Linked DNA regions of Danio rerio. Each later gene encodes a partner of the first gene's protein in a complex. Links are inferred from orthologs where the notes say so. Each region holds a gene or a part of one and is shown on either strand. Other genes may lie near its edges.

The links. The genes of interacting proteins can lie anywhere in the genome.
Region 2: the proteins of rbl1 (region 1) and ppp2r2ab are in contact, whole or in part, in a cryo-EM structure (PDB 9C6B), measured with the Homo sapiens proteins. The link is inferred for Danio rerio from reciprocal best matches to the Homo sapiens genes RBL1 and PPP2R2A. Residues at the interface, in NP_002886.2 of Homo sapiens: Ser615, Pro616, Leu617, Met618, His619, Pro620, Arg621, Val622, Val625, Arg626, Ser629, Leu632; in NP_002708.1 of Homo sapiens: Lys88, Tyr178, His179, Asp197, Leu198, Met222, Glu223, Glu224, Leu225, Thr226, Glu227, Val228, Ser247, Arg278, Ser279, Phe280, Phe281, Ser282, Glu283, Ile284, Ser287, Tyr337, Phe343.

What each region holds. Positions count from the first base shown.
Region 1 is NC_133181.1:54,202,457-54,206,115, reverse strand, and holds part of rbl1 (retinoblastoma-like protein 1), read left to right. Parts: intron 1-632; coding exon 633-809; exon of another isoform or gene 810-963; intron 964-1,935; exon of another isoform or gene 1,936-2,298; coding exon 2,299-2,370; intron 2,371-2,513; coding exon 2,514-2,598; intron 2,599-3,659. UniProt on the Homo sapiens protein: Key regulator of entry into cell division. Directly involved in heterochromatin formation by maintaining overall chromatin structure and, in particular, that of constitutive heterochromatin by stabilizing histone methylation.
Region 2 is NC_133185.1:23,776,071-23,779,729, reverse strand, and holds part of ppp2r2ab (serine/threonine-protein phosphatase 2A 55 kDa regulatory subunit B alpha isoform), read right to left. Parts: intron 1,252-3,659; coding exon 972-1,251; 3' UTR 1-971. UniProt on the Homo sapiens protein: Substrate-recognition subunit of protein phosphatase 2A (PP2A) that plays a key role in cell cycle by controlling mitosis entry and exit. Involved in chromosome clustering during late mitosis by mediating dephosphorylation of MKI67.

The DNA.
Region 1 (3,659 bases):
TTTGGTTGGTTTTGTGTTTTTTTGTGGTTTTAATGTGAATTTGTTTTCTGATGATACTATGGATACACGGCTAATATTTTTGATCAGGTCCTGCCATATAAAGATTTGTTATGGGGAACATATCAACGATCGAAAATCTCTTGAGGGGGGATTCTGGATACATATAAATAAAAGCACCACAATTAAATTAAAACATTACTTCTCGACCACTTTCCCCAGTATGAAGGAATTTTATAGGATTGTGGTCTTAAGGAAAGTGTCAGTACTGCCCTATTTATTAGTTACATTTTTAATTTTTATTTATTTAATTTTTTTTTTTTTTGTTATTCTTAATGTTTTTTGTTTTGTTTTTTAAGTACACATGAAATCAAAACTAACCATATTGAGTTAGTTAGCTCACATTGCTAGTTTTGTGGTGAACAATTCATCTGTGCATGTTGTTAGGAAAATTTTTTTTGCTATATACAAATATATATTTGATATACAGAAATATATTAGCAATTCTTAATCATGCAAGTATAGAGAAAAACAGTTTTCAAAAAAAAAATCTTATTCCCCAGCAGAGCCTTAATTTAAATATGGGTCTTATTGTCTTATTTCAAGTGCATATGTTCTGTTGCTACTCCTTTCAGGTGTATCATTTAGCCAGTGTGCGTCTGCGAGACCTGTGTCTGAAGCTGGATATCTCCTCAGAGCTAAGAGGGAAGATCTGGACGTGTTTTGAGCACTCTCTCCTGCACTGCACTGACCTGATGAAGGACAGACACCTGGACCAGCTGCTGCTTTGTGCTGTTTACATCATATCAAGGGTACAGATTTTAAATGCAGTAAAACATTAATATTTTTAAACATTGGTCGAAAGTTTTATTGTAATGTCTTGCTGTTTAATTGTTTATTTATTAATTCAATGGTTTTGCTATGAAAATAACCATTGTTGTTGCTATGATAATAAGGGTTGTAACGGTATGAATTTTTCACGGTATGATAATCTTCTAAAACAATACCACGGTTTGACGGTTTCACGGTATACGGTATACGGTATGTTACAAATGTTACAAAATAATAGAACAGTGAAGCAAATTTGACTTTTTCCAAATAATATATTTTTAGTTACTATAAACAACACCACTTACAATGAACAAATAAAAATAAGAAAATAATAAATAATGTGTCAAAGTCCAAATAAAGTCCAAATAAACATGGTGCAAATCCTTAGTAAAAAATAGATATAAATATTTACTATACTATAAATAGTTACATAACGAAACTAGATTCAATATGGAACATCCTTAGGTTTTATGTGCCAGCGTGGATATGGATGTGGTTGTATGCAATGCAGACAAACAGCTGCATCTTCATTTGCGTCTTTTGAAAACAGCAAGAGCAACAGTTTGTCTTTGCTGTGTCACTGTTTTGTCATGTTTCTGTGCTGCTGTGCATGCAAAAGTACTTAGTATGAGAATTATTTCATGCAAAACTTTTTTTTTTTGCGTTTTATTTAGCCGCGCATAAATGTATGCCTTTCTCTCATTCCGTGTTGTTCAAAAAGCTTGGTCCACAAACAAAAGCGAAACCTATGCTTATTGGTTGTGATATAGCGAGTTTGAACCAATCTGGGCATGGAGGAGGGACAATGCATCAATGTATCATGTCTGATTTGTCCGGAGACACAGTGACGAGCGTTTCTTTGTCAAATCAGCGTTGTCAAATGTTGATGACGTAACCGCACTGATTCCGGAGCCTCTGAAAGTCCGTGAATGTTATCAGCGGATCAAAAGTTATTAAACATTTAAGAGCAATGCTTATTTTTAGCCGCGGGCGGCTGTCTCGGTCTTTAAGGGTTAAAACCGTTGATATGCAATTGTTCATGGTATGATAATCGTGCACGTTCAAATCGTGGTAAACCGTCATACCGGTATATTGTTACAACCCTAGACATGACATGATATAATATGATGTATTAGTAAAAATCTAAAGGAATGTTATGAATATTTATAAACAAAATACTGCATTTTTGGCATAATTACAGCATCATGTTATTGTTCAGGAATAGTTTTAATATGCTTATTTGTTGCTCAAGAAAACCTTTATTGGTTTAATTTTAAAAACCATGTTGCTGTCTATTATTTTGGTCTTGTGTTTTTTAAATGCCAATATTTTATATAACACATTTTATTAATGCATTGTTTCTAATTAAAAACATTCATCACTTTGATAAATGAAAAAATTTATGAATAAAATGTATATAAATTACAATTTTACATTAAAAATCATTTAAATTGTGACATTTTTTTGCAGATCACGAAAGAAGAGCACACTTTTCAGGACATTATGAAATGCTACCGAACACAACCACAGGCCAACAGTCATGTGAGTATCAACTCTTAGTCTTTCTAAATGGCATAGAAATGCTTTAATGCACACAAGTGTCGAAAATCTTGTAATTTTAGCTGAAAGGAAGCACAACTCAGTCTTTGATATACCCACATCAACCATGTTTTGTGTGTTTGTAGGTGTACCGCAGTGTTTTAATAAAGAGGCGTCCCAAAGTGCAGCAGGCTGACGAGAACATGGAAGTCGATCCTCCAGCAGACCAGTGTAAGGACGATACAGACAAACGCATCTGTCTTTTAAAAAATAAATAAATAGTTCACAGTATAGTGCATTAGCATTCAAATATTTGGAGCCAGTTAGATGGGGTTTTTTAGATGTTAGATGGTATGTTTTTTAGTTGTAAGGACATGTTAAATTTAATAAAAGTGTCCTTCCTGTCACCTTGGAATAATGATGAAAAAGATTATTTGCATAAATTGCTATTTGTCCATCAAAGAATCATGAGGAAAATCTTTCATGATTTCCACGCAAATATTTTAGTTGCGCAGCTGTCTTGAATTTCACCAATAACAAGAAGTGTTTCTTGAGCACCAAACTCAGCATATTACAATAATTTCTGAAAGATTATGTGAGGGCTGAATGCTTAATTTGCATCAAAGGAATAAATAATGTTTTAACTATTCAATTCATCTTTATTTTTCTAGTGCTTTTACAATGTAGATTGTATCAAAGCAGCTTCACATAGAAGATTATAGTAAATTGAAACTCTTGTCAGTTCAGTTTTTGACTATATTTGTTCTCTTTAAAAGGGAAATACTTGGCTAATATGTTGCTTAGAATTATATTAGACAAATACAAGTGTTTTAATTTATTCTTATTTTAATTTTTTTATTCATTGTTCTGTCAATTATTTTCATTATAAATTATTACTTTTCACTTATTTTTAAGTCCAAAGAGAAATGGACTATTGTTTGTTTTTGTATTATTATTATTATTATTATTATTATTATTATGTGCTGTATTACTCTGGTTACTGAGCAGCAATAGATAACACTTTTCACAAATCACAAATTTGATTTTTCTAAAAAGTTTTAAAATCAATGAACGCATATTAATCGTGATACCCGTGATTATTCCTCAGACTATAATTGTACAACCAACATCTATAGTCATTGCATCCCTAAATAATATATATTTAGATCTCAAATGTACATGTATATCATACAAAGTATGTATAAATTTAAAAACACAAAGAGTTGAAGTCAGAATTATTATCCCCTCTGAATTATTAGCGCCCTGTTTATTTTTTTTCCCCAATTTTTGTT
Region 2 (3,659 bases), on another chromosome or scaffold:
TCGTTATCATAATCTCTATAATCTTTCTCAAACTGTAACTCTTGAGATAGAGAAGAGTGTTGACAGAAATCGGGCATGGGTCACAAAGGAAAATAAACCCTGTAAGGCTGAATGACTTGTACATGAGTGAGCAGTCCAACTGGGAGTGTATGTGCTTGAACATATGTAGAAGGTCAACTACTACAGCAAACATGGCAGTGCCGTCTGTGCCACAAAGAAAACCAACAAGAAAAAAAACTCTTTGGGCCAAAGCCATGGTGCATGGATATCTGAAACGAAACGTGGCTGAAACCATTTTGTAGCTGTATGGAGTGGAACGGGACAGTATGAAATGTATAGAGTAGTAAACTAAAAAGAAATAAATCTAAAAACGAAAAAAGAAGAGACACTTATTCTTGAAACAGAATTAAAATGAACTAAACAACTTGGCAGTTTCTCTGAAAAGAGTTTAAAAACGGTTACAATGGCACAAACAACATCGAGGATTAAAGGACACAGGGACACATCCATATGAGTTCAAATTAGTTTTTATACAGACACCTTGAAGAAACCGAAGCCAAAAAAATGAAAGAAAAAAAAAAACTAAAGAAAAAAAAAACTGGTTGAAATCTGTCAGAGCTTTGCTGCCCATTTCATCCCTGGGCTCGGACTGACTTGTGGGTAAAGGGGAAAAGGGATGGAGGGTACAGACACAGGTTGGCACAACATCACCAGTGCAAGGCGCATGTCATGGTGCCACAGAGGCCAAAGCCAGGTTGCGCTTCTTCTCCAGACCAGCTTGAACCAGTTATCTCAGTATTGGCAGCCGCTAGTTGGCTCAACTAGTTCATCCTGTCCTGGAGTAGGCCAAGGTTGGTTTATGTGATGACGGTGGTTGTCACAGAAATGATTCTTGCTAGTTCAACTTTTTTTTGTTGGTTTCACATAGAGCGAGAGAGGTTCGGAGGTTTTCTTTCCCCGTGATGACAGTATTAGTTCACTTTTTCCTGGAAGATGTAGAGGTTGTTGGTGGTTGCCACTGCGATGATGTTTTCCTGCGGGTGCCAGGCGGTGTGTAGGATCTTCTTGTTGAAGTCCAGGCTGTCCACGCTGATCTCGTCCTTCTTCCGCTTGCCTCCTGCGCAAACCCTGCGCGGCTTGAGGACCTGCCGGGGCTTGCAGCTCTCGCGCGAAGCCTCCAGGGTGACATCTCGCCGCTGGGTGCGGTCCAACATTCGGAAGAAGTTGTTGTATGATCCAGTCATCACCACGCTGAGACCAAAGAAGAAAACCGGAGAGACAATGCTATTAACAAACCTGCTCTGGCCAGTTAAAGGGATTGATCACCGCAAAACTACAATCCTGTCATCGCTTATAAATGCTCATGTCATTCTAAACTTGAAAGACTTTAAGATTAATCTTTGAAAAGGAAATGAAGGAGCTGTTACATACCAGTATTAACATGCATTTTCTCAAGCCAGAAACAATATTGGCATCTTGTGGCCGCATTTCATTGAGACCCTTCCCTGTTTTTTCAGAACACTCTACGTCTACATCACTTTTATAGGAGTGCTCAATGTGACTCAAGTATTACTAAACGACAAACCCATGTTTTGCAGCTTAGGGACAGGGAAAGTAAGTGAATGAATAGGATATGGATGGCAACAACTTCAAACTTAATCCATGTTTTGGTACAACACAGCGAAATATGCATGACCGACCAGCCAGGAACCGGAATTGGCCAATTTTTCACATGACCTGGCCTGATTTCAGCCAAGCTGTTCTGTTAGCGTTGGAAAGTGTTACTGCAGTGTTGTCAGAGACACCCGCGTTTACACTTACAGCTGCAAATGACAAATCTCTGCACAACTTTTTTCCACAGTGTATAAATGTGGGACTATTTTCATGATTTGCAGCCACAACCACCTTACAAACCTTGGCGTAACCAACTTTAATATAGCAATCAAATCACCTTCACTTAAATACACAATTCAGACTCAGAGTTACATTAAGACCAATTCATATTTCTGCATCGAGTCTGTGTGGCAGGGTCAAGTGTAGCAAATGTATTTTTTTTGTTAATGTGGTTAATTTTTTGGACTATACGTTTTTTAAAATGATTTTAATATTATAGTTATGCAAAAATTGGTATGAGCAGGTCACAGCACGCTTACCAAAAAGAAATTGGAATCGGTCAAGATATGTAGACCAAAGCACTGATGATGATGAAGACAGACAGACAGACAGACACACAAAAAAAAAAAACATACAGAAATAACCTGCTGTCCCATTTTACATGTAAACCAATAGTCCGGAAATATGAATATTAGTTTATTTCTTGGTAATGACACCAAAGCATAATTATTTGCATGTATGACAGAGTATATTATTTTTCATGTTTGATGTCATGCTGAATCAAAAAAGTGTTTTGTTACATTAAACATAATTGGTCAAGTGTTTTTAAGTGATAAAAACCTAAATTAAATCTGTTTATCTTAAAGTGATTAACTCTCTTTATAAGTGTTGGATTCAACCACTGGATTTCTGTTAATTTGCCTTTATGGCCCATTTTGATTATGATCTTTAGTTGTCTGGACTTTTAAAAGAGGGACAGAAATTTGGTCATATTACAGCATGCTAGTCAACATGAGGGTCAGTAGAGCATGACATTTTACTTTGTGGGTGAAGCAAACCTTTAACCTGCATAACTTCCCTGACAATGATTATAACGCGTATATATTTTTAATCATAAAAGGTCCATTATAATAACTTCCAGCAATACTTTTGTTTTTGTTTTTCTTCCAATTTGAGTATTTCAAAAAGTGCCCTACAAAAGGCTTGAAGTTTTAAGTAGGTAATTGGAAGACTCTTCAGTTCAGGGGACAGGATGTAGTTGACTATAGACTAATTGACAATTGAGACTAATTTAGTTGAAGACGAGTGTGTTCAATAGCACTGACGTGTCTTCATGACATTCTATCCCAATCTCCCTCTGACCTTGACCACCGTTCGGCCTGTCTTTGAGTGATTAGAGGCTCCTCAAGATAAGAGTCAGTCCGGGCCCCAATAGAGCGTCATGCAACAGGTCTAAATATTGAGCGCTACTTGACTAAATGTCAGCTAATTAAATCTCAGGAAGCATGTTCTTTAATAGGTTTTCATTTTGTTTTAGTCCTGTGTTCACATTACCATTTATCTTATTTCATGGGGTCTGCTGAATGCTCGATTCTAATTGACTGCTAATCGTTCTAAGGGGCCATGTACACAGAACACATCATTGGATCTTAAAATATACTGATATATATATATATATATATATATATATATATATATATATAAGTATATTTTTAAGTGATATATAATATATATATATATATAATATGTATATTATATATCACTTAAAAATATATTATATATCACTTAAAAATATACTGATATATATATATATATATATATATATATATATATATATATATATATATATATATATATAAGTATATTTTTAAGTGATATATAATATATTTTTAAGTGATAAAAACTTAAATAATAATTTTTTTTTTTTTTTTTTTTTTAATGCCCTCTGCCTATTGTCAAATCAAACAGTTTTCATGTCAACTTGCTACTGGTGCCACATGTAAAAGTTGAAATTCCAATAACTTGACAGTCTTAAAAATTAGATG